7 linked regions of the Coturnix japonica genome follow. The protein of the gene in region 4 interacts with the protein of the main gene of each other region in a pairwise test. Links are inferred from orthologs where the notes say so. Each region holds a gene or a part of one and is shown on either strand. Other genes may lie near its edges. The genes, in order: SYT11, GPR37, TOMM70, PRKN, RGS2, SNCA and RAD1.

Region 1 (4,097 bases), on a different chromosome or scaffold from region 4:
ACTTAGCACGAGTTTTGAAGCTAGAAGTGACACCCAGCTGGCAATGTTTGGTTTTTACTTCTTAAATCATAAGCTAATGCATAACATAAGTATCAGGGAAGGATAAAATGTTAGCCTTGCATATTGCATCTGTTCTGTTCTGTCACTTGCAGTGATTCATCACGCTCAGGAGTTTGAGGAAAAGTTTGCAAAGTAAAGACAATAAGAAGAAGTAAATGATCTAAAAGTGAGCTGAGCTTGTAGCGACTGGGAGTTTCCTCTCACATTCTCTTATTTATCAGAATGCATTTACCTTCTGCAACACAATTCCTACCCAACAACCAACAGCTGCTGTGCACTGTTTGGATATTAAAGTCTCCTTCCTCCCCCCTCTGAACCCAGCCTGTATTTTGCTGCATGTTCTTTCAGATGGAAACAACGTTGTGCTGGAGCACCCCCGCAGCAAAGCTATGAATTGCCCTCAGGGTGGCTTTGTGTGGCAGACTACAAACATATTCAGGGTTGGAGAAAATAGCTTCTACCTGAGAGGCCAGTGATATCCATCTTTGGCAAATGTCTGGCTTTCAGCACCACGACGGTCATTCTCTGTGCCGCGGGTTGGTAAGATAGTGAGACCTGCAGCTCTCCTCTGCTAATGCATTTCTGTGAACAAGAAACAGCAATAGTGTATTAGGACAAGATCTTACAAACATGGGGTAATGTTGGGGGTGTTCTCCTTTTCTTATGCTAAAGGACCAGGAAGTTGGAAAATCATCTGTGTTTCATTCTAAATCCATGTTTAGCCGTAGCCATGTGAGGTCTCCAGAAGGAGAGCGAGCTGCTGAAGGTAAAACATCCTCTGCTCTATATACCATGTCTGCTGAGCAAAGCATCACCACAGCCTTCAGTTTCTCTGGGAGCAAACCTGGGGTCATGCTCAGAGAAATGAGCACCTCAGGGTTCCTCTGAGGTCTCCTCTGGAGATGCTGTGGTTTCTGGGAGCTCTAAGTTCACTGATTTCTTTTGGAGGTTACACTGGTGAGCACCTCGAGCTCCTTGGGCACACTTTGGGAGCTCCACCATCAGTCAATCCTACACCAGAAAATGATGAAGACAAAAAAGAAACTATTCTATTAAACTCGTCATTCATACTTCCAAAGAATAACACTATTAAGATTATTAGCTTTGGTTTCCAGTCGGCACTCATTAACTTCCAGTGAGATGGCGCTAATTTCAATTAAGTTTATTTGCTATCAAGGAAGGTGGTATTGGCAATGGGCGTGAGATGGTGTGGTGTAGGGAGCACAGCAGTGACAGCACTGCAGAACTCAAACAGCTGCTTGCTTTAAGCTCAGCCATCAGCATCCTGCCCTGCCCCCTCCATCAGCATCTGCTCCTTTTAACCCCCCCTGCAGTGCAGATGGGGAAGGAGGTCACAAATGGAGGATTTGCTTTGTTTCCAATAGAAACATCACCACAATAAACGTTAAATCTGTTGTTTTGAATGCTGATGCTTAAATTAATTGGAGAAAATGGTGTGCGCAGCTGGCACCAAGGTAAATTTACTTCTAGTTACTGCTGCATATTAAATAACGTGCACAATTGATCACATCTATTTTTTAGTGTGACCACTTTCCTCAATTTTTAACCTATTACTTGTAGAACTTACAGGACATGCAGTCAATGCACTGAAAAGAATACTTTAAAAACCCTAATGCAGAATGTAAAGCAGCCCCATCGAGGTGAGTCTTCAGGCTGCTTTTCTTTCCAGTCCACAGCACGAGACATGAGAGCAGGATTCAGTTCATTTGGGTTTTAGATATCTACACTGGGTAGATACACTTCATCCTCACATGGGAAAAGGAGGGGGTCGATGGAGGTGGGATTGATCTGAGCTGCTCCAGACGTCTCCCCATCCATGTTTTGTAGCAGCCTTTGCTGGTGATGCTGATATATTTTCAATGGCTTACAGCCTACGGTTACAAATTAGGTAATTACAAATGGAGGTGTCCAGAAGGGTCAGATGAATCCTTCTCTAAGTGCGATCTGTCTTTGCAGAGCAGGATATATTGTTACTCAGAATTGGTTTAAAAGGTATTCAGTGCAACTCTATCTCTAGCTGTTCTCCATGAACAGCTCGGACAAGGATGAATGTCCCTTTGTCACAATGCTCTTTTATTGGGAGTGGCATTCCCCATTTCTGTGCCCCTACAGTAACTGTGTTACCAAATCTCTATAACCACACAGCAGAGAACTGCCAAACTAAAAGAACATGGTCAGATATTAGTAAAATAACATACATAATAACATACATCTGTGGGAAAAAAAATGGGTTTCATAACTAAGAATGGTGTAGTCTCCGGTCTGGCCTCACCAGATCACTGAGGCTCCCAAACCAGAAGAACTGGGACCAAATGCAAAGCAAGGAAAGCTCAATGACACGAGATGAAGTTACTCACCTGTATGTTCCTTTTGAGAATCTCCCTGGTCAGCTGAACCTTCCCAGTGCTCGGATCCACTCCCGCAAGGGGCACCATGACTTCTCCAATCACATCATCTCGAGAGAAGCGATCGAAACTCAACACCAAGAAGTGAAGCACCAAATCCTGGAGCTGGCTGTAGGGGATCCCATAGAAGGTGAAGGTTTCATCAAAGACCGGATCCAGCGTCTTGCGAAGGACGCGGGTCTTCACGCGATGCCTTTTGTCGGGAAGAATGGTCATCTTGATGTATGGGTCGGAGCTCTGAGTGTGCTCATCCATAACTGGCAGCCCGTGAGCCTCCTGGATAGTAACCACCAGGGCTTTTTTAGGGAAGTTATAGTCCACTGAGAAAGTCAGTTCACCCAACAGGACGTCCTCCCCTGGAGAAGATGGGGAGGAGGTTTTACTTCCACCCGGAGTGAGGCTTTGATCTGGGCTTAGTTCATCTCCATAATCTACTTTGATCGGAAGCTGATCAATGTGAGGAGCTGCATTTGGCCCATCTGGAGCCTTATCAGAGCCTACCAAGCCAGATTCAGCAGCATCCACCAAAAGGTTTCCCCTCCCAGCCTCCTTAGGAGCTCCATTCTTGTCTCTCCGGATTCGATTGATTTTCTTCTTGTTACTCAGGGTCTCCGGATAGATGCTGATGCCTTTTAACATGTGAATGAATTTATACGGTGGGGTTTTGTGCTTTTTTTCTGCTTGCTGGTGACAGCATGTCCACACAAAAACTGTTACCGAGACAGAAACCACCAGGACAGTAGCACCAATGAGGCCTGCCACAACTGGAGAGACATCTGTAGGGGAGAAAAGCAGTCAAGAAAGAGCTGGAACTTCTTTGAGTGCCACAGCCCCCCAGGAGGGAGCATACCTGGGCAGGGACTCTATAGCATGCTATTCATTAAGCCTAGTATCAAGGCATCCCTAGAATAAAAAGTTAACTTGTATTTCTATGGACCCAACCCTGGATTATTCAGAAATTGTCATAAGATTATTCATAAATTGTCCCTTATGAGTAATTCAAACCTTGAACTCTTTCTCGTGTGAAAATCTGGTGTTTAAAAGCAATGGACAGAATATCCTCTTTTTGTACGTAGGGATTATTTGATATTTTGCTAGAGTTTATGTGTCAGTTGGGTTCTTCAGCAATGTCAGGCCTGAACAAAAAGGCACAGTAATCATTTTTAGCAACCAAGCTCGTTATTTTCTATTTATAACCATTGCTTTTGGAGATGTATTATCAAACACAAAATGAAACCAGTAGTTTCCAGCTCCCCAGTACATTATATTGACATATACAAGCAATTTAGTCAAGGGCCACCAGGATAATTAAAGAGCTGGAGCAGATGGAGGGTGGAGAACGGAGAGCAGATGGAATATGAGGACAGCTTGAAGGAGCTGGCTATGCTCAGCTTTAAAAGAGAAGGAAAAGATCTTCTTCTTGTGCCATGAGACGTTCACGCTGCGGTCGTATCGTAACAGGGGAGAGAAGGGAGGGATCCTCAGCCCCAGCATCCCTCCTCCTATGGTACAGAATGCATTTAGTGGGTGCTGCTTATAGAACCAAAGCTCAGGATTAGAAATTAATCCCCATTCTGACATCCCTATTTGCTGTTGGACAGTCGCCTTCTG
Region 2 (4,717 bases), on a different chromosome or scaffold from region 4:
TGCCCATGTATGTTACACTGGGGTAGTTAGTGTCTGACATTTGGCTGTTACGATGGCACTGCTAATGGAGCCGAGGCTGCCCAGGGGACAGGTCTGCTCCATGTCTGCAGTGTTCCTAGTGGTGTCAGCATTGACGGTAACACCCATGAGGTCGGAACTGCACTCAGAAAGTGGCAGACATTGGCTCTAATTCCCACCTCTGTCTCCTCAGGGTCAAATCATAGAATCATAGAAATACTTTAGTTGGAAGGGATCTTTAAAGGTCATCTAGTCCAACTCCCCTGCAATGAGCAGTGTTTTCTTCTACTTACTGCTCCCAGGGTGACGAATATTCTTTACATGCGTATTATACTTAATGACTAATGAACAAAATATGTACAGTTCTGGGAGTGACATGGTACCTCAAGGCTCTCTCTACTCAGTTGTTCGCCTCAGATACAACTTAATTAAATTTCCTCTGGGAAGAGGAGAATGACCCCAGTAATGACCAAGCCTCAGACAGGCACCATTGGGCTGGTCCATCATCAGTGGATGGCTGACAGTTCTTGAATAAAAGTTCAGCTGTGGGCATCTGAGGAACTTTAAAGTGAAAACTAAGGTGACATTAGAGAATAAAGGAGGGGTCAGCAGCTGCCTGATGCCTTCAGGATTACAGCTACATTTGACAGCTCCATTTCAGCTCAGGTAATTCAGAAGGGGGGAGAAGGGAGGGGAAAGTACTGAAATACTAAACTTAGATCACTACTTTAAATAAAGTGGTCACACTTTAACTGAAGCAGGAACTACTCATCTACTGGATAACACAGCATCCCTAGAAGTGAATTCAGAGCTCTCAGAAGCTCCTGCCCAAAGCTCCTATTAGCATTCTCAACAAATACATATTTCACCCTTCACTTCTTCCCAAACCCAGGTCAATGGAGTGTACCCTAAGCTTTCCAGATCACGGCATCAGTATACTAACTGGCTTCAGTTCCTCTGAGTACATCACAGCTCCACTCTTTGTCCAGTACTGCAAGTAACAGAGTGCATCACACAGAACAGAAGTGATGGCAGTGTAGTGGCTGCACGCTCTATCTTAAGACCTCCATAAAAGTATCGTTTGGCAGCTGATAGTGGAGACTGATATTCTATGTATTAATAACAGGGTTAATTTTTTTCTTCCCTTTTTCACACCTCTAGTATCGCATTTGTACTACAAGCAAATCAACAGTTTCTTCTCAGCTTCCAGTTTAGAGAATAACACTGAGCAGAAGGATTTGGGCGAAGAGCAGAGAGAGACAGCATACCGGGCTCCCACTCCATCTCACCCCTCATCTCCAGCACATGAATCCAACTCTCCTCCAACCTATCCCAACTCAATCCCCGAGTCATTTCACTTTAAGGGGGGGGGGGGGGAAAAGAAAGAAAGACTAAAACTTGTAATCAAACGTTGCGAGTACTCCTCGCCTTTTCAGCACCACGAGGAGCGATAAAAGTTTGGCAGAACTCGCACGAGAGGAAGCGCTCAGCCGGAGATACGGGGATCCCGGAGCTGCCACCCTGACTGACCACGGGACGCCCCCCGGAGCACGGGACCCCACGCTACGACACGAGGGCTGCCCGGGATCCGCTCGCCCCGCCGTTACCTCGATGTAAGGGACGATTTTGCAGGAGAAGTCCTCTAGGAGCCACTTCTTGGTAAGCTCCTGGAAGATGACCAGAGGAAGGCAGAAGAAGAGGATGAGGAAGTCCCAGAAGGCCAGGTTGGCCAGCAGGGAGTTGGAGATGCTCCGCATGTAGTAGTTGTGCCACACGATGCACATCACCGAGAGGTTCCCGATGATGCCGATGCCGAAGATCACCACGGAGAGGCACATAACGGCGTAGGCGCCGTACGACTCCTCGGTCAGCGGGTAGAAGGGGTTCCGGAGCCGGGCTCGGCGCCCCGTACCATTGCCGCGGCCCCCGGCGGCGCTCTCACCACGGGCAGAGCCGTTCAGCGGCAGCCACCGGGGGCCGCTCCCCGCCGCCGCCCCGACCCCGCTCTCGCTGCTCCGCGCCCGCCGCCGCCCGGGCTCCGCCTCGGCCCCGCGCCGGGGCACAGCGGCGACGGCGCGGCGGCCCGGGGGGGCGAGAGGCGTCGGCGCTGAGCTGGAGCGCTGCGGGGGCGCCGGCAGAGCAGAGCCGGCGACGGGGAGCAGGGCGCAGGCGGCCCAGGCGCCCAGCACCGGGCAAAGCAGGGCGAGGGGAGCGCGGAGCTGCCGCATGGCCGGGAGGCGGCGGGGCTCAGCCGCTGCCCTTCGGCTCGGCGGGGCTGGCGGCGGGGGACATACCCGCACTCGGAGCTGAGCTTCTCGCCGCCTCCCGGGGCAGTGCCCGAAAGTTGTGCCGCCGCCTCCGCCGCGCGGAGTTAATGTAGCGTGTGCGGGGCCGGGAGGACCCCCCCCGGCGCTCCGCCCTTCCGCGGGAGCGCTGCCGCCCCGCCGCCTGCCGCCTATTTACATCCAACAGCGGGCAGCGGGGCTCTCGGCTGGGAGAGGTCCCCCGGGAACGCCGCCCATACCCGGGTGACCGCGGCCACCGGCTCCTCCCGGAGAGAACAGGTTGTCGCGCGGAGCGCAGCGTGTTTGAGATCTTTGCCAAACTCCGTCCGTCGGCAAGCAACGCGCTCGGGGTAGATGCAGTCCCGGGACCGACCCCTGCAGGATGCTCCCGCCTCCGGCTGCAGCGAGAGGGCGGCGACCGCAGCTCCGTGCGGGAGCTGAGAGGTGCTGGTCGGCGGGTTGCTCCCGGCTCAGCCCGGTGCCGCTGTCAGCCCGGTGCCGCTCGGTCCAGCTCTGCCCAGCCCGGCTCGGCGCAGCGGCGGCTGGGGGCGCGTCGGAGAGACGGGCGAGCAGCGCGGCTGCCCCGCAGTGCGCAAGCGCCGCCCGGCGGCACGGAGGGACCGATCCGGCTCCGGCGAGTCCGATTTTAGTCGGTGATGGAAGATGTGGCCCAAAGCACCACCCTTACGACTGGACTGCGCCGGAGGCATCCCCGGATGGTGCTGAGACCCATGAAGGCTGCTCTGCTTTTTTGTTTGTTTGTTTTGTTAGTTTATTTTCCTGTTTTGAGCGTCTTTTAACGCTTATGTTTGTTGTCCTTGTTCTGTCTGATAAACTTTATAGCTCTTCCTTCTTGCTTCCTTGATTTTTATATAATTCAAGCGTTTTTTTAGCTAAACAAAGTTGGATACGCTAACCTGTAAGTAGCCTGAAGCTCTGTGCAGCTCCTCCCCACCACCTTTAAAAGTTTTACACTCTTTCTAAGAAGCACATTGAGAAGTGTTCTTGTTCCCCACCCTTGAGCTGAAGCCGTTCTGTTAGATCAGTAAGCAGCTGGAGCTGTGCTCCATGGCTGTGCGTCTAACAGAGCTGTGGGCTCCTCTTGTGGACAAGTGTTGCGACCCCGAGCACAAGGAGTGTGTTTGCAGGCTTTTTGTCTTAATGACCAACAAAGGAAAATGTCAGTCTGCAGTGACAGAAAATACATGCTGCACGCACACGGAGCCAACCTGCCAGATGCAATCAGGAACACGCTGCTGTTGCTTTGTCTCCGCAGGGCAGAGGCAAGATGTAATGCCCATAAGATTCTTTGTATGGATTGTTTTCTTACAGTTTATTTCACAGAATTATTTGAGTTAGAAGGGAACCTTAAAGATCATCTAGTCCAACTCCCTTGCAATGAACAGGGACACCTACAGCTATGTCAGTTTGCTCAGAGCCCTCTCCAGCCTGACCTTGAGCGTCTCCAAGGACAAGGCATCCACCGCCACTGGGCAACCTGTTCCAGAGCCTCACCACCCTTATTAAAAATCTCTTTCCTCATATACAGTCTAAATCTTACCCCTTTTAGTTTGTGATCGTTTCTCCCTGTCCCATCATATCACACCCTGCTAAAGTCTGTCTTCTACTTTCTTAGAGCCCCCCTTTAGGTACTGAAAGGCTGTTTTCAATCTCCCAGAGCTTTCTCTTCTCCAGGCTGAACAGCCCCAGCTCTCTCAGCCTGTCTTGGTAGGGTAGTGTTCCAGGTGAGGTCTCCCCAGCACAGAGCCGAGGGCAGGATCACCTCCCTCAGTCTGCTGGCCACTTTTGATGTAGCCCAGAATCTGGTTGGCTTTCTGGACTGGACAAACAATAACCCACCCAAGTGGCAGAAGGGAAGCATTGCATCAAGGCACTCGCTGGACTGACTTTGCTTTCAACAGAGGGCAAAGTGCCTGGGATCAGGAGCATCCAACATCATCTACATTGAGTGTCTGGAGGTGCCCCAGTACACTACCTACACCAGAAGGATGACAAAAATTGACCTTTGAGTGGCTAAAAGGAGTGAATCCTGTCCCACACTAACTGAAGAGCAGTGCCTTTCCATGGTGGTCGCACAGAAAGCTCTCAGGACCCAGGTGCCATCCTGCTCCTGACGCCATTCTCACACATAGAGTTGGAATGTAACTGTGGGCAGCCTGAAATGTTTCTAAGCATGTGGAAACAGGTATAATAAATTTGGCACTGCTGCATGGAATGCTCCTTAATATAAGTTATGCTATTATTCTTCCTTAGCAATGTGTCATCTCATGGACTTAAATGACCAAGGTAGTAAATATTTTTTAACTAACAAGAGTGTCTTTAAATAGAAAAATAGCAGGAGAACAAGGGAATGGTAAATACATTTAACCTTTTTTTTTTTTTTTTTTTTTTCT
Region 3 (4,097 bases), on a different chromosome or scaffold from region 4:
CCCACCTACTTGCTTCATTTGTCCCTTGAATGTTTTTCACATTAAGGACAATGTGAATCTCTACTTCAAAACAGAAGGGCTAATATGGTACACCAGGTCAGAAAAATGAACAGTGAACCTAGCAATGTGCAGTTTATATGCAGAAGAATGGATTTCAGATTTAAAAAATTACAGTAAATACTGCTTTGTTCTCAGCTCCATGCCCTGGATTCACTGAATCTGCCTGTATATCAGGCCATTCTACCCTGATTTAAAAGATTCATTGTGCTGTTTGCGATGGCCTCCATATTGATAGCAGTGATTATCCTCCAGAACACCAACTGGAAAGCAGCACAATAAGTCAAAGGCCCATTTACTTAGCGCTCAAACTTCACTCAGAAAACAAACAAGTGCAAAAGCACTAATGCTTTTCTTTGTCAGAACAAAACTTGCTTATGAGCGATTTGATTCTAAAAAGATAAATATCCTTTCAGCCTCAGTTGCTGTTATTCAGTTCTCACCAATAGACAGCTTTTTTTCTGAGCTCGTCTTCTCCCTTTCAATCAAAGGATGATTTGCTCTTTCCCTTCAGAATTCTCCTTTAGCATAATGTAATTATTCCTTTCTTTCAGCACTTTCTACTTCTTTCTTACTCTCTACCACAGTATTTTAGAAAAAATTTAGTTTGTCTTCCCCATTTTGCACTTTCTTTGTTTAAGGGATCAAAGACATTTACAGTTTGGAATTAGTCAGACAGCCCTCCAAAGTTTCCTTTTTAACACTGATTTTACTTCATAGGTTTATTTTGTTATCACAGATCTCAGGTACTATAACATAACAGCAACTTAAACTGAAAAGAACACCAATACCACTAAAAATAATTTTAACAGCAAACAATTTCCAACTGTACTGTACACTCACTTTTCTTTTACTTCAGAAGCTTCTCCCTCCTTATCCTTATCCTCATCGGATTTCTCACCCTTAAGCAAAGGTTGGGAGATGATATCATCCGTAAAAGAACTGAAATAGGATTTAATGAACTGTGGCGAGGGCATCAGAGGCTCACGATTCTGAAACACAAATACAAGGTTAATTCACTAGACTGTAAAATCAGATGGTAATATCCTAATTCTTACTTGGGGCTTGGCCCAGACATCAACTATTTTATCTGAATCATGAGAAATAACACCTTGGACGCAAAATCCTTTGTACAGCCATAAGAAGTTTGCAAAAGAGAATTACAGTTCGATCCCTCCTGCAGGTGAAGTCTGAATACACTCTTCTCTGTTTCTCTATTAAGTTCAGTCATAATAATCCTGACAGAGAGAACATCCATTTTATGATGCTACCACTATTCTACTACAGGTACCATTTATTTTTTGTTACCTCGATGTCACACAATTATGTGAGCTTCTACAGAAAAGAAATTCAGCATCTCTAAGTCAGTGTGGATTTCAGTAGGTAAACTGCAGTCACAAACAAGCCAGCATAATTTAATGCATGTCCCAACCTAAGGCCACTTAAAATGACTCTTCCTGGCTAACTCTATACTTCCACAGTTCTTGTTGCTGCAGTTTCCAAACATTCATGCAAAGAAATCTGTGTCCAAACAGAAAAGTACAAGCATAAGCATCCATTTACATAACTGACTCAGAAGAACAGGGACTGTTACAAATAACCTGTGGGAGATGGAATCATATTTCTTAAGTCAGAATCAGCAAGTCTGACCATGAATATAAAGGTGAGATTTTGCTCTACATCATTTCTTTTCAGCAATGTTTTTTGGCTTTTTTAAGAACAAAACCAAACCCAACAATATTATTTAGCCACTTTCTAAACCCCAGAAATTCCATGGTTGACCTAATCCTTCCTGCATTTAATTTCTATCTACAAAGCCAAGAACAACAACCTAGGAGTAAAACCTCCTCTATTATCATCCTTCTCATTTTAAGCTAGTCGCTACATATCAAAGTTTTGTATTTGTTTTTATTTATTGTTCATAAACTTTCCTAATACCTGATGTGCAACTGAACATTTGACTGCTGTTGTTCTAACATCCGTTATCTTCCAAGCCCAGAAAAACCCAAGTAAGGCAGCACATCAGCTTAGGATTGTCTCTTGAACACCATCATAATTTTGAACATTACAAGGAAACAACCTGATTGTTAGAAATAAGCCCTTCTTCCCCACAAAGGTTTCAAGCTGTTTGGTCAGAACCCAGAAAACAACAATGGTAACATATTAGCTTTGTGAAGGCAGCGACCAACTTGCAACTGTTATCAGAATGCCAACAAACAACATTTCAACAGTCAGAAATCAGCATTTGTCAGCAGCATCACAAGCCTTACCTTGTATTTCTCTTTGGCCTTTTCTTTTCCAAGGAGTTTGAGAACTTTATCAGCTAATAACATACTCTGCTGGTTTTGAAAGGCTTCTAAAATGCAGACTGCAGTGACATCTAGGAAATAATATAAAAATAGAGATTATTGACCAATTCTGATAGTTACAAAACACTAAAATGTGCCACTAATACAATGAGTTACTCACAAACTAACACATGTCCTGTAATAACAGCAAATGAAGAAAATTAAGTTAATAACTTGTGCATCTTAAAAGAATCAAAACAGCTTGTCTTCTGGGACTGGTCACCATTCTCTACATAAATTTCTGCTTTTAAACTTCACTTTTTGTTCAATCATACCTCATTCCTTTCTCAGCTCTTAAGATATCTTCCTGTATTATATTTCCATCTTTTTCTGCCTACCTCTGTGCCATGGGAAAGAAACAGCTTTACAAGAAGCATCTTGCTAGCACATTTGAAGTGCTAACTCATATCACTTTCATTCACACAGAGCTTCTGAGAATGTTAACCCATTGCTGCCTGAATAATGTTCAGCATTGTGAAACGCACTCTTAAGGTACATTATCTTTATTTCTTCTAATTAATGCAATGCTACTATTGATTCTTCCTATTTATTTTCCAGTTAAACTGGAAAAAGCAGATTCTGCCAAATGCACATCATTAACATAAAAAAAGGATTTTTATTCTTATCTGTTCTAATGTGCCTACCTCTTACGTATCAGGACAGAAATGCTACTGAAACTGTTTTGCCTTTTACACCTGCCACAAGCATTTAAACAGCTGTAACACCTGTCTATGGCTAAGCACCTCTATGTGTGAAAACACCTTGTTTCTGGACCAGTACAGTTTCTCTAAAAAGGAAGAAACCTTATTACCGCACAGAATTAGAATGATCCTTGTCTGCGTTACCTACACAACACATTATATGAATTCTGTTTCAACAAGTAGGGAGCTTCCTGGACAGAGAATACCCCAAGCGGCTACAGTAAGATCCATTTTGCAGGAGCTATTTCAGACCTAAATGTTTCTTCTTAAAAGAGAACAAAATGCACTTGTTGTAACTATAAATGACATTTAAAAATAGTTAGGGGCTACTGTAGTTACAATAATTTTAAAAAATAATAATAATTATGTAAGTTTAATGATCTCCAAAGTGTCTGAGCACCGTTACATATACATATCAAGAGACACTCACCTTCTAAACACTCCTTCTTATTGTCTAGCTTCTCATGAGCCTTTGCACGTCTGAAGAGAGCTTTTACATATTTAGGATTAAGCTCCACAGCCTTTGTACAATCTTGGGCCACTTCTGACCATTTTTGCTGTGGGGCAGAAAAACATGATGAAAGAAGCCCTACTCAGCTGCATGATATTAGCTTTCTGCTACCAGCTCCAGGGTCATGCCCACCTAACAGTAGCTGCAGTTCCCAGGGCTCTGGTTCTACCTGCTTGCTTCTATTTCTGCAAGTTTCTCAGTAAGAAATTGCCAGGCGCCACTGGAAGCCACCTGCACCAGAAGAGCCACAAAACTGAAAAGGAATTCCTACAGAAAAATGAAACCAGACAGATTTTGTACAAAGCATATGGAAGAAGATAATGACTTGATGCAGATACTTGTGGGAAGTGACACTGGGACTGAAAGACTGGTACACAAACAAGAGAAGAAAAAAGGTGAAAACACGATGAAAATCACCAGACAAGTTTAACAAAGTACTAAAACTGTTAGTTTTTGGGTGTCTTCACTCAATTTTAGGTT
Region 4 (3,014 bases):
TATCTACATTAAAATATTACCTTGTTAAGAATAGCTCTAACTAAGTGAAGAGTTTTTCTATCTCTGTAAGAAAGGCACTAAACAAAAATGGGAAAGAGATACAGACTTCTCCCATGTAACTTAGTATAAAAGTAAAATTATTTATGGAGATTTTTTCCCAAGCCTGTTGGTAAAAAGCCATAAAATTATAAAATAGACCCAGGAGAAAGAAACCAAATGATAAAATAATTAGAGCTAACAGTAAAATATCCTTATTAAAATAATGTACATAAATGAACTACATCACATCATTCTATTGCACTCCTGTGCTCTAATGAAACCATACCTGCACACATTTTAGTTCACTGGTACTAAAGAGAAAATGGCCTTTACCAGGAGGCCATTGTGCTCTCTTTGCCACTTTCTTTCTCTCACAGCATTTTCTTAATTCCGTCAGTTCACTTTCATTTTTGATACTTCACCCCTTCATCCTTATTATTTTTTTTCTCATACTTCTAAGGTGATTTCCAGCTGAGACAGATGAGTACTCCACTGCTTTTAACAGCTGGCCATTCTTGTAGAGTCTGGGATTTCTTTGTACCTCGAGACTGTTGCTCTGCACTGACTGATAGAAGGCCCACCCATAATTTCAGAAGTCTACAGTCACACCACACAAGCTGTTAATTCAGACTTGATACAAGAAGTTAATGGCCCTGAAATTTATTTTTATTCTAAGAGTATGCTTTAATCAATGGGCTAGTCTCTCAGCTGAGAATCAGATGAGTTTAATCTGTCAAGGAAATGCATTATCCATTACACCCAGCATCTTTTTACTCACTTACCTCGTATAAAAATAAATGAATACATAAGCAATGAAGTCATTTTTGACACCTTTATTTGCTGTGTGCTTTTTCTCAAAATGACTTATAAGAAATCCTTACCTGACACGCTGAGATGAACAGTACCCATTTCATTTTAGATTAGGACAGCAATGCAAAGGATATGAAACAGTAACACTGTTCAGGCTTGGAAATGCTATAAAGCTTTACTTATTGTGTAAACACTGTAAAATGAAAGAAGTTCCTCATTGTTTGAGCTGTGAATGCATTTTCAGAAATCATATTCTGATTCAATTTAGATTGACAATGAAGGAAACCCCCAAGAAGGTTCCTCCTGCTTCCCATGCTACATTCAAAGTATTGCTATAAGCACAAGAAAAATGAAACCCCTGGAGTTTAGCTTTTACAACACTTAATCATATCCAACCACCACTGCAACACTCATGGTTAGAGCTCAAACTGCATGCATCCTCAACTAATCTATGAGAGGTAACTTAGTCTGTGTGATGATAGGCAGATTTCATGCCATGTGTTACAAATACGCAAGCACAAATCTGGCATAAAGCTGGCTGTTTCTATGAGAATTTGGTTTGAAGGCAAGAACACTACAGCAAACCTGTTCAGAAGGAACCCTGAGTAAACACTGAACAGCCAGTGTCTTCCATCTGTTAAAAAGCTATTAAGCCGTTAAGAAACACAGTCTTAAAATCAAAAATTGTGCTGACTGAGCAAAGGAGTTGGTGCTGGGACTCTCCACTGTAGCTCCTGATACACAAAAGCACCTGCTGCTCTCTTGCAGGAGTCACGGATTTCTGACTAGAAATATCAAGTGTGTTCCTCATGGTAAACCTGTCTGCTCTCTGTGCTGACAGGCTGAAGATATTCAGAAAGGTGAAATTTATCCTTCTTTGTACCACGATGAGTAAGTTTGTCCATTAAAACAATTTCTCTTTTTACTTAATGGATTTAAAACCCTTGGCGCACCTTCAATGTGAGTTTAGTATAATTCCACAGGTAAGCAAGAAAAAAACAACAAACTGAGCTAACATCTGAACTATCCACCCCTGAAACCACTGGGAGTTTTGTTCAAGCAGGGAGTTCAGAATGTGACCCTGATGAAAGCCAGCTGCAGCAGCAATGCCAGCTAGCCCCTGGGTCACTGTGCCATCAGTCAAACCAGTGATTGCCCATGCAGGTTCTGTTCCACTCCACGCCACAGTTCCAGCACCACTCAAACCTGCACTGAGGTCGAGGACATTTCATGTGCATGCAGCCACCTGCAAAAGAGCAAAAGAATGGTTTTGGTACGTGAAAAGCACTTACTGATATTAACCAGCCATTAACAGTTTTAGAATCAACTTTTGTTGGCATTCAATTACTAACCAAGTAAAATATTTAGTAAAAGGGAAATTCAAACCTGAAGACTGCTTCTCCTCAGCTTTCTAAATCCTGCTACTCCCTCTCCTATTAGGATGCAGCGTGCTGGTGTCATTTGAGGGACTCCAGAAGTAGGAACTGAAGTACTGCCTGACATTTGGAGAGACTGTGCAGGGGACACAGAACAGCAATGGCAGGCTCTAAAACAACACTTATGGAGGTGACTGCTCCGAGGTAATCTATGCTAGTAGAGTGGTGAGCCAGAAGTTGAACTAAATTATTAGTTTTTTTAAATTTGGATTCAGTGTTGGAGGGTTTTGCAAAGAGTGACTCAAGAGACAGATCTTAATGGCTGAGTGCCGATGATACAAAAATGGCATTAGTAATTTAAGTTGACTTGACCTTCTTAGTACTGAAGCAGTCTTTTGATCACATCGATGTTTCCTTTGTGTTAGGTTTCTTACATGCCCATACTGTGAGAGCAGCTTTAATCTCTCTGCTCACAGCCTTGATGATATGTTTAGTTTGTAATATATAAAACATTAACATTGTCAAAGGTCATTACAAAAATGTACTTCAAATGGAAACTATGTTGCTCACCACACAAAGAAATCTCTTGTATAATTCAAACAGAATGAAAACCATGCAGTAAGAAGTGCTGAAATGTCATCTCAGTTTGACTCCAGATGGTGATAAGATGTACAAGGAGTGTGTGTTTCCTACTGTACGACCTGCAACACTTACACAACCTTTCCTATAAATGCCACTCCAGAAGGTAAAAACAACAGACACTAAGAACTGATCTGTTAAATAGGTCAA
Region 5 (4,692 bases), on a different chromosome or scaffold from region 4:
AGACTCCTGCTAAGGTGTGCTTGCTCAGCAGGCAGCAAAAGTGTTTGCTTCTGCACAGGCTTTGCAGCCTGGAAATGAAGCTGTATTTGAAGTAGAGGTCTTGAGGAGGAGCAGCTGTGCTGCTGCACTGTAAGTGCCTGTATTCTATGGCTGGGAGCTCTAGCAACAATGCTGCTGCTTTCTGGCTGATCTGACATGTCCAGCTGTTTGTGTACCTTGCACTGTCGTAGAGATAATTTTGAGGTAGATTCTAGCAAAGCTTTCAAGCTCTGAAGGTTTTTACTATGTTTGAAGCACCAACGTGCCTTGTATATCAAGAGTGAATTGCTTAAAATTAGCCCAGTGGAGACTGCACTTGTAAGAGTGGTTACTGCAGGATAACTCACTCAGACCAGTTTGTGTGTGTGCAAAACAAGCAACAAAAGCAGTTCTGTATCAAAATAGTTTATTAAAAACAGTAAGACTTCACTGAAGCTTGCTGTCTCAAACAAAATTATGACATATTGCAGCGTTCAACACAATCATAATCTGTATATAAATATAATACTGTATAGCTCCTGTTCACTGTAGCTGGGCTTTGCCCTCTGCCCAGCTTCACGCAGCCCTGCTGCCATGCCCAGCCCTGCAGGCTGTGCTGCACAGCTCATTCCTCCTAGAGCAGAACTGGCTGTCCCCTCCTTGCACAGCAGTGAGGGTAGAACTGGTGCCTGCAAACCACACACAAACCTCAGTACATCTCTTTGCAGCTCATGTCAGCTTAAACAGATGGTGTTACAACACCCAGGAACTGATGACAGCAGTACTGGTTGATGTGCAGGGGGAAAAAAAAAAAAGCCACCAGAATCTATACATGACTCAAGTTCCCAGCACTGCTCAACTGCACAGACTTATGCTTCTGCTTGCAGAAGGGCAGCTCTGTGCTGACCTGCTGTATAACACCACAGCTATGACAAGGAGCGTGTCACAAGGCACAGCTCAGTTAGATGCGTGCAGGCTCCTTTACTGCAGCACTCCAAAAAGGACATCACCAGCCTGGTGCACTGCTGCCAGCCACAAACGCCTTCCAACAATGTCCTTTGCCAACAGCTTTGCACCAAAGTCAATATCAGTCCTTATGCTGAGGCAAACTGACTGAGTGCTCCCATCTCAGTCTCTCAGGTCAGGATGCTGCCAAGCCAGCTCAGTTCCTTGGTAGCTGAGAGGTGTTTCCTCACTCTGCACTCATGTTCCCTGGGCAGCTCTGGTGATGGGAGGCTTCTTGCACAGCTCCTGATAGAACTCCGATTCCAGAAACCGTGGGTATGAGTTGTTCTCCATGAGGCTGTAAACTCTCTTCTGTGCTGCACTGAAGCAGGTGTGTGTGGCTTCCTGGAGGTTCTGTGCTATCATGTTCTTGGTCTGGAAGTCAATGTTTATCTGAAATACAAAAAAACAGATGCTTACTTTCTGAGAACTGAATCCCAACAAGCACAACACTTTTGAAGAGGTCAGGAGTCCTTTTGTTTCAGGGATAAATTGATGTAGTTTCTTTTAAATTATTTCTTTACTATGAAAACTTGGAGTAATCCAGGTATGCTGTTTTCTGGTGCCAAACCCAAGTATTACAGGTGTTTGACAAGGCTGGTTTTTCCTCCCCCCCTCCCCATTCATGCTAAGGTGGAATCTGAAGTACAGCTTGTACCATTTTCCACCTTGATGAAAGAAGGCAGTCAGGGAAAAGTTGTGTCCAATGCATTTGTGGCATCTGCATCTTACAAGCTCAGAGGAATAGAGTGGGGCTAAAGACACGAAACAGGGCAATGCTTGTGTGCTTTCCTTACCTCCTTGGGAGCCTCCTTTTCAATGAAGTCATTGTAGATTTTCTTTGCCTTCAGTGTCAGCTTCTGGGGGGATTTGGTTTTCTTGAAGTCCTCACATGCCAGCCAGAACTCGATGTTCTCTTCGCAGAACTCAGACTTCAGAAAAGCTCGGAAAGCAGCAACACCATCTAGGGAAAGGAAGGGGGGAGGGAGGCAAAACCACATCAATTAAGTATTCCAGGCATCTTATATTTGCCAATTTGTCACATCTGCTCCTAGCAAAATATTTTGCTGTAGTTCTGGTCTTTTCTGCAATGTTATGGTAATAAGAAATCCACATTGCAGGCAAATTAACACCCTAACAGCTTGGCAGGCTTCAAGTCAGCCAAATTAATGTAAGTGCAAAACCAAAAGCTGTTTCTAGTCAGTGTGTACCCTTATGATACCTGCAGATGAGCTACGTTAAGAAGAAAAGCTCTAGATGGGATCATCCTCATTAACCTTTATGCTGGAGCAAATACTTCTGACAGCACAACAAACCCCTGGAACGCTTTTGCAATGGAAAGGATGACTCAGAAGTTCAAAGAACAAATTGCCGTATCAGCTCTTAGTTGTTACTGCTGTGCTGTTGAGTGCTTTTTTTTTTTTTTTTTCCCCAGCAAAAATCTGCCCCACAAGAAAATGAAATCAGTGGACTTCTGTGCTGCAGAATCCTTACTGAATTATAAGAATGAATCTGATTTGGATAAGAGAGCACAGTGCTTTGCACTTATGGCAAAGCCAGGCTGAATAGGTAAAGTTGAACTACAGAGCCTACAGCTACAATGCTTCAGAGTGGGGAGCTCTGCTTTAATATTACTTTAAGAGCTCCGTGCAGTACTGACATGCAGGGAAGCCATCTCCTATATCAGCTTCTCCCCTGCTTCGTTCTTAACAGTTACAGCCTGAAGACCAACTTACATTTGTTAGCCAGCAGTTCATCGAAGGCTTCTGACCACAGCCGGGCTTCCTCGGGGGAAGGTCTGTGTGAGGCAGAGAGAAGAGCAGAGAAAGTGAGACCGCAGCTCGAGATCTGCTGCTTCTTTTGTGCAGCACTCGAGTTATCTAAGGCTGGAACTCACCTGAAATAGGTGTGGTGTTTGCTCGCTTTGTTGGACTTCATTTTGCCAGAACGGGAAGAGTTCTGCAGGAAGTAGCTCAGCTTCTTCTTCCAGTCTTTAATGCTGGAAAAACAAAAGACGCTCATTTACAACGAAGCCGTCAACCACCAACCTCACCCCAGTACCCAGAGCCGCCTTCAGGCTGCGAGCAGAAGAGAGAAACCTTTCCCTTCGGCCGAGCCGGCGGTGCCACTCACATGGTGCGCTTCATCATCCTGCCCTTGTCCGTCTCCTCCAGCTCAGCTCGTCGTCGGCTGCCCCGCTCCATCCGCCCGCCGTCCTGCGGCAAAGCAACGAACACGGCGCTCTGCATCGCCCTACACCGCTGCCCGGCTGCAGCAGCGCCCCATATAGCACCCGTGCTCCGCCCCACGCCCCGCCCCGTATGGCCGGGCGCTCCGATATTGATTTATTCTCTTTTTTTTCCCCCCCCCTTTCCCCTCCCACCCCTCCCAGAGCTACTTTTCTCTCCGCTCTTTTCTTTCTCTCTCCTCTTTAAGCTGCTTTTCCAACTCTACTTCTCTTCCTCTTCGATTTGCAGATTTGGGTCCGTAAAGTCAGCACAGGCTTCTGAGCAGAGAAGAAAAGGAGGAAGGAGGAATAAAGGCCCCTTTATTCAAAAAAGAAAAAAAGATAAAACCAAAGCGGCGATAAATTTGAGCACGTCGTTTTGCCCCCTACCGGCCGCACGCGTCACAACACCTTAGGCTCGAAAAAGCATCCCCCCCCCACAGCCTTGTGCCAGAGCATCTTGCCTTAGGTAAAAACGGCCTCTATTTAATATTTGAAAGCATTTAAAGAAGGATGCAGTACTGCTGCCTGTTGCGTGCAGGAGCTGCCCAGGTGGGAGCTTGCTAAGGAAAAGCCTGTGTGAGGATGAGAAGGAATAGTCTCACGTTGCTCCCGGGGAGGACCAGGTTAGGTATTAGGAATAGTTTGTGGTGATAGAGTGGCACAGGCTGTGCTGGGAGATAGGGGGGTGTCATCGTCCCTGGAGGTGTTCCAGAAAGGAGGAGGATATGGCACTGAGAGGCATGGTCAGTGCGGATGGGCTGGAGTTGGGCTTGGAGAGGTCTTTCCAACCTTAATGATTCTAAGACAGCTTTTGTTATGTCTTTAAACAGTGAGAGGGGAAAATAGCATTTCAGGTTAAAATAAAACACTGGAGGCATTCAAGGCCAGGCTGGACGTGCTCTGAGCAGCCTGGTCTGGTGGTTGGTGACCCTGCACATAGCAGGAGGTTTGAAGCTAGATGAGCATTGTGGTCCTTTTCAACCCTATGAACATGGAATTGTAAGGTTAGATGGCCTGATAAGATGTACTTGCTATAACATCTGGTTTTAAAAAGATACTTAGATCAACTTTGATCATCTGCATTAATATGTATTTGAAGTTTACATTTTCATTACGCTCCTAAAGTGAGGCTATTAGCATGTTTTGTTGGTTCTGTGTTGGTTTTTTGCAGTGAAGAAGAAACTACATGGAATAGTTTCTTGCTGCATCATGCTGTGCTGCGTGCTTTCTGGTAGTGACCCTGACCTTTGCTGGGACAGCAGTTAAAACATTTGTGTGACAGAAGATGTTTTCTGTGTATGAGTTAAATAGAAGGGGAATGTGTCTGACATCAAACAACGTCATCAGCGCTGCTGCTGGCATCACGTGAACTAGGCAGGTTGCACCAGTCTGCTTTTGGGATGGCAGAGGAGCCACAGGCAAAGTGAGGGATGCAGCAT
Region 6 (4,767 bases), on a different chromosome or scaffold from region 4:
TGAAAAATGAGCAGATGCTCATTTTAAAATAGATTCATCTTACAACTGCTTTTTAAAATGACTTCCATCTCTGTCGGCAAAAGCACCAAGCTTAGCTACGGCTCAGGAGGAGAAAAATATATTCCAAATGAGTAGTCTAAACTACGTGGAGTAGAAATAATTCATTACAGACTGGCATCAACCTGCAAGGGCAGAAGGAATCCTGGAAAGATGTACAGAAACATCAGTTCTTCCATCTGTTTTTTTGGTTTTTTGTTTTAAACTCTGTTCAACTTCTTTTTAATATTTGTACACACTTCCCCAGATAAAAGCAGCATCCATTACAGAATTGACTTGCTGCCAAATCATAAAAAAAGAACGAATCTACAGAAAAGAGTGTATTTTCCTTCCTATTCTACTACCATGCAACTGAAATTAACTTAAAAAAAATAAAATGGAATTCCTCCAGTTTAAATGACCTATTCATATGTTCTTGGCAGCTTTTTTCCTGTTCATTTTTCACTATGGCATTTATGAGACAGTACTTTAAGGCCTGGTAGTTTCTAAGTGAAGACGATGATTGTGTCGTCAACAGTCCAATGTGAGATTTGAAAAGAATCTTTCCCCGGGTTCCATGCAAAGTACTCGCATAGTCTGGGTAAGTCAACTAACATCTGCTTCCCACTTTCTCCACTGTCTCAGTGACCGTAAAGGTTCTTCTTTGAGTAGCCATGGAAAATAGCTGCTGAGGATATGCAATAGTAAGTATAGAACATTAGGTTAACTTTGAAAAACAAGGAGCTGACACCTCACCATTCAAAATGTTACTGCTGAGGACCTTTATTTAGTGAAGAAAGAAAACAAGCTCCTTTCTATGGGGTGTACAGTTATCTTCCTTCTACTCCAGGAAAAGACATTGGCACGTCTTAGATTCAGTTCCAGAACCAACATCTCAAGTTTTTTCTTTAAAAATCCTGCTTAAAACTCAGGCATTCTACAGGATTCTGTGAATTTACCTCCCATATAGCAAGCATCTTAAATAGGGCCAGTCAGTAACTTGCATTGTAAGGCCTCTTCCAACAGGCAAGTTTATCCTGTACAACATTACAAATGCAGCCCCATATGACCAGCACACACAGTGACAAGAACCAAAAAAAAATACATGACACACAACAAACAGCAATCAAACAAACAAGCAACAATCGTCAAAGACCCTATGCTCAGGAGAGTTCAAATCTCATCATGTTTACTTTGCAGTTAATCCTCTCCTATGAGTGATTACATATTTCAGAGAAGAGAGAGAATTCAGCTCTTTCTTTCAGATGAGCGGGGCTGTCAGGGTACACCAATCAGCAGCACAACCTCACTGCCCACCTACCCACATAGAGGACTCCCTCTTTCGTCTTTCCTGCTGCTTCTGCCACTCCCTGCTTGGTTTTTTCTGCTGCTGCTACAACCCCTTCCTTTGCCTTGTTAAGTCCCTTCATGAAGACATCCATGGCTGAAGGATTTCTTCACACAACACTAGAAAAAAAAAAAAACAATACCAAACACACTTTAAATAATGGTTCTCAGCTTTTTTTTTTTTTTTTTGCCAGAAAATTTTATTAAAACTGATTGCACATCAAAATACTTTTGAAATACATTATTTATACTCACATATTATATAACTTCCATCTACATCCGTATTAGCAATATACACATACCTCTCTGTATCTAGGATCGCTTTCAGTATTTCAGATAGACAAAAAACAGTTAAATAACTAGAAAACAAAGGAGCTCCATTACACAACTCACCTTTACATCTCACATGCTACCACAGAGCAAGTTCAAGTTAAGCAGTATGGCTAAGGTAGTCCCTGAAAGGCCCAGGAGTTCCCACAGAAACGTACAGAAAGGTCACTGATAACGCAGTTCTCATTTGAAGTTGCACTCACTGAAAGGAACAAATCCATTCCTTGCCTACCACCATCTCCTCCAAAGGACAGTTTCTTGTCTATTAACTACAAGATCTAATCCCATCATTCGCTGATGCTCCACCTTCTCATTCAAAGGAAAAACTTAAAAACTAACAACTTTACAAACGCTTCTTCTAAATGAGAAACGTTCGCTCATTGTTGTTTGAAGAACCACTAATGTTCCAGAAGGACTTGAGCAAACACAAAACTGCTTTCCAGCAACCCAGCATTTTGCATGCAGCCCATATTGCTCTGCCAGCACTTGAGCTTTCAAAAGGGATCCTGCACATGCATCAAGACTAAGGAGGAAAAAAAAAAAAAAGCAAAGGCAAGAACATGCTACACTAATAACACCACACTACAGCTAGCAAGTAGGTTCTGTGGCAGTTATACAGCCCTACGCTACAATTAGGCCACAAAGACAGTAATTAAAGCCAGCAAGACACCCCTTTCACAATCCCGTCGCCGACAGCCCCTTCCCTTTCTCCCCCTCCCCCTCCCAGAAGATGCACTGCCTGCTAGTTCTTTCCCTCCGCCGGAGGAAGGGATGTCTAGGAAGACAGTGGGGAGCTTGCTACTAACCCGTGGCAATCAGAAGGGCAGAATCCGTGCCCCACTGACACCGTAGGCAGCACCGAGAGCAGGTGTGGGAGCACCTGGGTGCAGAGCGAGGGAAGAAAGCAGTACATGGCTACGTGGCTCAGTCTAAATAAAAGAATGGGCACCTGTGGAGGAAGGAAGAAAGAACGCGCAGGGCTCTCCCACATGTATGTGTCTGTATCTATACGGACTATCCGAGGAGAAGGGCAGGGCTACGTGAGCACATAAGCACCCAGCGGCTCCCTCACACGGCAGCCGCGGCGCCCGCTGGTTTCCCCTCCCGTTCCCTTCCTCCTTCGTGCCCAAAGGAGAACACGTTGAGCGACAAATGCACCTGTCCGCACACCCACCCCTGCGGCTGCCCAGCCCCAGGGCGAGCAGAGCCTCTCATGCACTCCCCACCACCTACCGCTGGGTCCGCCGCTGCAGGAAGGCGGGGGGAGGCAGGGCAGGAGGAGGGCGAAGCGCAGAGAGACCTGATGGGAGCTGCCCCTTCTCAGCACATCGCCAACTCTCCCGACGGCAGCAAGGCAGGCAGCGAGTGTGAAGGAGAGGCAGGGTGCGGGGCGGGGGCGGTAGGAGGAGGGGCCGGGGGCGGTGGGGCGGCTCCCAGCCTCCATCCCCTTCTGGGTGGGAATGTGCTGCGGGTCGGGTATGCGTCGTGACGTGGGGGTGGGAGGTAAGGATAGGAAAGAAGAGGGGAGGCTGAGGTCCTGGTCATCTCGTGGCACCACCTGTCCGCTGTTCGCCCCGGCGGCTGAATCACAGCACTCAGAAGCAATGCGAGCAAGCTGTTGCTAGTGAATTCAGCACACCTGTTTCGCTTCACCCACGGCTCAGAAAACGCCCCCGAGCTCTTGGTTACTTATCTTCCTCTCGTAAGCCTTCAGGCCGGAGTGACTTGAGGTGAACGCTCTCAGGATTCACGCTCCCAGCTCATTTTTAAGGATGGCAGGTAATACTCTTGTAGGTAAAACAAGATCCTTAACCCCACAGCATAATATAATAAAATCTTTGTCTAAACAAGGATGAGAAGCCCAGCCTCACACCTGTTGGTCTCCATTGTACAGACCAGAGCCACTGCATTTCCCCTCTTGGTCTGTTACACTCAAGTCACTTTTCCCCAGAAAGGGAAGGCAATGTCACTTCTCTGCATTGCTGCAGAGCGTAGGCATGAAAAGCCAAATTCAGTGGAAAACAAGGTATTAGAACAGATGGACCTTCAGCATCAGTACATCAGTCAGCATGCTGTACAGATCCTGCAAAACCTTGCAAAAACAGTTTGTTCTGTCATTGCGCTCCAAAGGAGAAGCAGAGCTTGGTACAGATGAGACACAGGGATGTGAGCTGCACAAAGCACCTTCCATCCATCATACTGGGCAGACAGCAGACAGGTTCCTGCTTTTATTTCCATTCTGAGCACACAGTGCAGAGTTTTCTCTTTTTCAGGTTTCTTAATGTTTCTTTACCGCTTGGTAATCTTCCTTGGGATTCATTCCACTACTACATTTAACCAAGCAAACATTTGGTGAAATGTATTTTTTTGTGTGAGAAGGTGCTGACTGAGAACACAAACCATTCCTTCATAATTCTGCTCTCCAGAAAATCCTTAGCAAATGATCCAGCAATTGCACATCCTATTCATCATGAGCTACACTTTACTTGCAGTCAAGGTTGAAATTGCAGAAATAACACATTTTACATGAGCAACAATAACATCTCAAATTAATGACTTTGTCTGGCTAGATAGTCAGTGTTTGAGTGGAAAGCAGCTCTGTCCCCCTGGGACCTTAAGTAAATCCATACTCTGAAAAGCAACAGCTCAAGTGGTACGGAAGCCAACACAGCAGCAGTGCATTTCTACTCAGAGACAATAGATGAGTAGGTGATCAGAGACTTCAGATGAGGCCGTCCAAAGGATCCCTGGCAAAGTCAATGCTGATTGTTCTTTAGGATGTTTCCCACTACATAGCACCAATGAGCTGACTATGAATGAGAACAAATTCTCTTCCTCATGCACGATGCAATACATTAGCCCTATCTGATATAACTGACTGTGCTAATACTAGTGAAGTGGGAATTGTCATGCAGGATCAGCTCTGATGCCCGTCTAGTCTCCAATCCTGTTTCAGATAGAAGCCAGCAATGAAGGCATCCAAGGTCAATGATAACATAGTATGCTCTGAAGTAGCCTGCTTCAAATCTAGGTATCTGAGCCAGTGCAGTCACA
Region 7 (4,604 bases), on a different chromosome or scaffold from region 4:
AGGTGCATCTCCTACTTGTGTTGAGGGCCCCAAACTGGATACAGTACTCCAGGTGGGGTCTCACAAGAGCACAGTAGAGGGGCAGAATCACCTTCCTTTACCCGCTGGTCACACTTCTCACAATGCAACCCAAGATAGTTGGCCTTCTGGGCTGCAAGCACACATTGCTGGCTCATGTTGAGTCTTTCATCAACCAACACCCCCAGACTCTAATTCTCCTAAGGGCTTTTCCTCTTCACTCTGTAAAATTCCATTTCTCACCAAGGGAAGAGCAAATAGGATGAGCAGGAACATCTGAGTTGAAGTTTAGATAGTTTCTAGTACCTGAAATATGGTTTATCTGGAGACATGGTAATCTGCAGAACTTCACTGGTCATATCAAGTTCAGAAAATGCTTCTCGTAGCCCTTCTGACTGCAGGATAATTTTATTGATGACATTGGTGCTGCAGAAATTAAAGTCTAACAAGTCCTCAGGTTCTTGAGTATTAATTCTGCACACTGTCACTACTCCTCCTTCTTCTAAGAACAACATCAAGGGATAGCCATACCCACGATAACACATCCGAAGAGCTGTTGATGTTCCTGAAAAGGAGTGTGAAATACATGTTGTTCAGAGAATGTCCATCAGGGCATCTTATCACTTCAGGAAATTCAGGTTTTCCTGTCATATAGCTCAACCAAACAAAACTTAACACAGCTTAGCTCGCACTATGGTCGTGAATCTCTTTTTCTTAAACATCTGAATGTTTAGCTTACTAAAATCACAGGGCAGTTCAGGTTTGGGTCTTCAGTTCAGACAGCAGTAACAGCAGAGGAATCTGGAGTTCAACACATAGCTCCAGTGGTAAAGCAGCATGAGAAAGCCCACATCCTTTCACACTACTCCATATGAATATATAGTGCATCCTGCAGGACCCACACAGCTAGCCTAACTATCTTTGTAACAATCTTTCACAGAATCACAGAATTGTAGGGGTTGGAAGGGACCTCTAGAGATCATCGAGTCCAACCCCCCTGCCAAAGCAGGCTCCCTACACCATGTCACACAGGAAGGCATCCAGGCGGGTCTTGAATATCTCCAGAGAAGGAGACTCCACCACCTCCCTGGGCAGCCTGTTCCAGTGCTCCGTGAAAACTTTGCTTGTGAAAACTTCTTTTTGAACACTCCTTAAGTAAGCAGGAAAAAAAAACCTCCCAGGAAACAAAATTTCCCCTTTTTTTTTTTTTTTTTTTTTAAAGGAATATAATTCAACATTTGTGTTGAAGAGCAAAAAGGACCCCATAATAAAAGGGAACACTTTGCTTCTTTTAAGAAATTTTAAGAAATTCCAAGCTGTATCTGTACTCTCTCTCAATGTGATGACTTCTGCTATGGTTCACAGCAATGGGACACTTGTTCAACAAGTACTAAACTGCAGGTTCCAACCTCTTAAGGATGAGAGCTTCCACCCTTGGAAGAGCTTGAGGTAAAGAAGTCAGAAGTTTTACTAAGACTGGATATCTACCTATGGACAAGCACAGGTTTCACTGTGCAATTACAGGCTATACATACACACAGTCAAGGAATATATACATATATATACACTATACCTGGCAAAGAACTGGCTCCAAAAATGGTCAAGCAGTCAAGAAGAACTGCCAAATTGATTCGGAACACGACTGATTCTTCCTGAACATGAAACTCCTGAAAAATTTCCGCCTTTGGGAGAAAAGTAAGAGATGAAAACAGTGAAGCTTTTCCAATTACTTCACAACTTACTCATGTCTTACATTTTCAGTGACTGGGAGATCTCTTCATTTGCTTATAACTACCTAACACATAATCACAGTAATGGAGATGTTTGTTTTCTTAGGTACAAGTGATACGGCACAAGGAAATGATAACAAGTTACACCAGGAGAGGCACAGATTGGGTATGAGGAAGACTCTCCTTCTGAAGAGGGTGATCAACCATTGGACCAGGCTGCTTGGGGCAGTGGTGGAGGTGCTTAAAAAATGTGTGGACGTGGCATTAGGAGACCTGGGTTAATGATAATGAGGAGGTCAGGTTGATGGCTGGACTTAGCATAGAAACATGAAGGTTGGAAAAGACTGCTGAGATCATCTAGTCCAACCATCAGCCATCCCCACAAGACTCCTTAAACCACGTCCTTCAGTGCTACATCTCCTCATTTCTGGACACCTCTGGGGACAATGACTTCAATTCCCTGGGTAGTCTGTTCCAACACCTCTCCACTCTTTCTGAGAATAAGTTTTTCCTTACGTACAACATGAACCTCCCCTGGAACAACTGGATACCATTACCTCTCATCCCATCAAGGTCTTTTCCAACATGAATGATTTTATGATCTGTCTATGGCAGGATTTGACAATGTGACTGTTCCCAACCACTATATGATTAATTAATGGCCACATTCTAATCACTGCATCTTCCTCACATTAGCTTCTGCAAATACTCTATGGCTTTACTAAAGCTTCCCCTTCCCCACAGCTCATCTTCTGTACACCAGTTCTACCACATCACTTATTCGAGTCCCTAACGCTGCTACCAGCCCCTTCTCACCGTTAACCACGGGAAGCAGCTCAGCCTCCAGACCCTACCTGGATAAACGCATTGGCCTGAATGCATTTGGCATCCTCTACAGTCACCCGAAGCCCGTTGTCTGTGGCGAAGCAAGTGGCATGATCCTGGAAGTGGACGGCCCTAAGGAGGCTGGACAGATTGCGGGCGTTATCCAGGCTGGCCGTCAGGACGTACTGCTCGCTGCTGCCGGGGGACTGCGTGGAGAACGGCATGGCCGGCTCCTGGAGCCCAACGGGACCGGACCGGGCCTACCGCGGCCTAACGGGACCGGACCGGGCCTAGCGCGGCCTGACGGGACCGGACCGGGCCTACCGCGGCCTAACGGGACCGGACTGGCCTAGCGCGGCCTACACGGGCCTACAGGGGCCTGAAGCCACGGCTATCAGCTGCGCCGGCGCTTCCGGTGGCGCGGCGAGCGGGCGGAAGTGCGAGGTGCGCACGGCGCGGTGTCTGTAAGATGGCGGTGTCCAAGAGGAAGCGTGAGCTGCCGGCTGCTGCGAGGCCGAAGAAGCGAGTGAAGGCGGCTCCGGCTGCGAACGAGGCCACCGCTAAGGCTGCCCCGGACGGAGCGGCCCCGGAGGAGTACAGCATCCCGGCGCCGGTCTCTCAGGTAGCGGCGGGGCGCGTTGGGGCCCAGCTGGGCGGCGCTGGGAGTCGGGGCGCTGAGGGGAGCTCAGGCACTGCGCGGGTTGTGAGGGCTGTAACAGTCTAATTATGTTACTGCAAACAGAAGCAGCGTCCTGGGAAGCGGTTCCATTCTAATTATGTTACTGCAAACAGAAATAGCGTCCTGGGAAGCGCTGACAAAAAAGCGCTGTTCTGGCCGATCGATTCAGCTGTATTACCACAATCTAGAAACGCCTTCAGTTGAGTTCTATGCAGACGATTTTATGGATGATGAGTGTGCTTGGTGTCGGAGTTGCTCTGAGGAGCCTCAGGAATGGCTGTAGTTGCTGCTGCTTCTCGTTGAAGCACATTGCGGCCCGAGCCCGCAGCACATGTTCATCTGAAGGCAGCCTGTGCCTCTGCCGGGCCCTCTTATTAAAACATCCATTGTGTGCGGAGTTCTTAATGTTGTTATGTGCCTTTTGTATATATGCGTTGCAGTGAGCAGTAATGTCAGAAGTCGAACCTTTGCGGAGTTTCTGTGCGGGTGATGAGATTGCTATGAATGTTCTTGCTCATCTTTTCTGTTGCTGCGGTTCAAATGGGTGTTGTTGTAAGAAACTTTAAGAAAATTAAGGTTTTTGTTTAACGCTTTTGTCTGTTTTTTAGGGTAAATGGAAGAACAAGGAGCGGGTGCTTATTTTCTCCTCTCGTGGGATTAATTTCAGAACAAGGCACCTAATGCAAGACCTGAGAACGCTGATGCCTCATTCTAAAGCAGGTAGGGCTGAGTGTTATCCGTAGTGCATTTGCAGAGTGACCTCAAACCAAGTATTTCTGAGAATCTGGTACTGACTGATTGTGAATAATGGGACATATAAAATGTAGTCTGAATATCTGTTACAGTGCAGAAAAGCGTCATAGGACACATTCTAGAATTCGGAAAATACATGATAACAAACCAGGCTTATTCAGTTTCAATTGGATTGAACAAATGATTGAAGCCAGGAATTGGACTCCATGATCCTTGTGGAACTTTTGCAACTCAGGATATTCTGTGATAGCATGACGTGGCTAAAAAGCCCTTGGTAGCTGATCTTCCATTCACAGCCAGTAAAAACTCGTGCAAACACCGTTATAAAATGTTGTTGTTTAATTATGTGTTCAGGCCTTCTCAACGTTGTTTTTGTCTTCCAGATACTAAAATGGACCGTAAAGACAAGCTGTTTGTAATTAATGAGGTAATTCTGGTTTTAATCTTTATTTTCTGTGAGCAAGAGGCAACCAAGCTCAAAACATCTCTTTTTAGTTGTAGAGTTGTGTAACTTCATAGCTGAAAATTGATACTGAAAAGGTGGTGATGCCAAAAGAAAGCTGTCTTTTGGTTAAGAGACATTAGAAATTAATATGGAA

What was found.
Region 1: the proteins of PRKN (region 4) and SYT11 interact in binary tests that used the Homo sapiens proteins (3 or more experiments, as listed by UniProt). The link is inferred for Coturnix japonica from reciprocal best matches to the Homo sapiens genes PRKN and SYT11.
Region 2: the proteins of PRKN (region 4) and GPR37 interact in a two-hybrid assay, tested with the Homo sapiens proteins (2 studies listed by BioGRID). The link is inferred for Coturnix japonica from reciprocal best matches to the Homo sapiens genes PRKN and GPR37.
Region 3: the proteins of PRKN (region 4) and TOMM70 come close enough for resonance energy transfer, tested with the Homo sapiens proteins (3 studies listed by BioGRID). The link is inferred for Coturnix japonica from reciprocal best matches to the Homo sapiens genes PRKN and TOMM70.
Region 5: the proteins of PRKN (region 4) and RGS2 interact in binary tests that used the Homo sapiens proteins (3 or more experiments, as listed by UniProt). The link is inferred for Coturnix japonica from reciprocal best matches to the Homo sapiens genes PRKN and RGS2.
Region 6: the proteins of PRKN (region 4) and SNCA interact in binary tests that used the Homo sapiens proteins (3 or more experiments, as listed by UniProt). The link is inferred for Coturnix japonica from reciprocal best matches to the Homo sapiens genes PRKN and SNCA.
Region 7: the proteins of PRKN (region 4) and RAD1 interact in binary tests that used the Homo sapiens proteins (3 or more experiments, as listed by UniProt). The link is inferred for Coturnix japonica from reciprocal best matches to the Homo sapiens genes PRKN and RAD1.

The regions. Positions count from the first base shown.
Region 1 is NC_029540.1:1,789,980-1,794,076, reverse strand, and holds part of SYT11 (synaptotagmin-11), read right to left. Parts: intron 3,263-4,097; coding exon 2,439-3,262; intron 643-2,438; coding exon 519-642; intron 1-518. UniProt on the Homo sapiens protein: Synaptotagmin family member involved in vesicular and membrane trafficking which does not bind Ca(2+). Inhibits clathrin-mediated and bulk endocytosis, functions to ensure precision in vesicle retrieval.
Region 2 is NC_029516.1:20,448,570-20,453,286, forward strand, and holds the start of GPR37 (prosaposin receptor GPR37), read right to left. Parts: upstream 3,100-4,717; 5' UTR 2,247-3,099; coding exon 1,626-2,246; intron 1-1,625.
Region 3 is NC_029516.1:76,028,933-76,033,029, forward strand, and holds part of TOMM70 (mitochondrial import receptor subunit TOM70), read right to left. Parts: intron 3,664-4,097; coding exon 3,537-3,663; intron 2,438-3,536; coding exon 2,328-2,437; intron 1,050-2,327; coding exon 901-1,049; intron 1-900. UniProt on the Homo sapiens protein: Acts as a receptor of the preprotein translocase complex of the outer mitochondrial membrane (TOM complex). Recognizes and mediates the translocation of mitochondrial preproteins from the cytosol into the mitochondria in a chaperone dependent manner.
Region 4 is NC_029518.1:40,625,438-40,628,451, reverse strand, and holds the end of PRKN (E3 ubiquitin-protein ligase parkin), read right to left. Parts: intron 2,096-3,014; coding exon 1,986-2,095; 3' UTR 858-1,985; downstream 1-857. UniProt on the Homo sapiens protein: Functions within a multiprotein E3 ubiquitin ligase complex, catalyzing the covalent attachment of ubiquitin moieties onto substrate proteins. Substrates include SYT11 and VDAC1.
Region 5 is NC_029523.1:3,458,483-3,463,174, forward strand, and holds RGS2 (regulator of G-protein signaling 2), read right to left. Parts: upstream 3,307-4,692; 5' UTR 3,273-3,306; coding exon 3,157-3,272; intron 3,023-3,156; coding exon 2,921-3,022; intron 2,822-2,920; coding exon 2,760-2,821; intron 1,988-2,759; coding exon 1,821-1,987; intron 1,417-1,820; coding exon 1,222-1,416; 3' UTR 429-1,221; downstream 1-428. UniProt on the Homo sapiens protein: Regulates G protein-coupled receptor signaling cascades. Inhibits signal transduction by increasing the GTPase activity of G protein alpha subunits, thereby driving them into their inactive GDP-bound form.
Region 6 is NC_029519.1:31,289,753-31,294,519, forward strand, and holds the start of SNCA (alpha-synuclein), read right to left. Parts: upstream 3,115-4,767; 5' UTR 2,947-3,114; intron 2,684-2,946; exon of another isoform or gene 2,663-2,683; intron 1,504-2,662; 5' UTR 1,479-1,503; coding exon 1,358-1,478; intron 1-1,357. UniProt on the Homo sapiens protein: Neuronal protein that plays several roles in synaptic activity such as regulation of synaptic vesicle trafficking and subsequent neurotransmitter release.
Region 7 is NC_029547.1:9,684,640-9,689,243, forward strand, and holds the start of RAD1 (cell cycle checkpoint protein RAD1), read right to left. Parts: upstream 2,929-4,604; 5' UTR 2,798-2,928; coding exon 2,603-2,797; intron 1,701-2,602; coding exon 1,592-1,700; intron 584-1,591; coding exon 325-583; intron 1-324. Other genes in the region: BRIX1 (ribosome biogenesis protein BRX1 homolog), read left to right, coding at 3,043-3,195, 3,861-3,972, 4,389-4,432. UniProt on the Homo sapiens protein: Component of the 9-1-1 cell-cycle checkpoint response complex that plays a major role in DNA repair. The 9-1-1 complex is recruited to DNA lesion upon damage by the RAD17-replication factor C (RFC) clamp loader complex.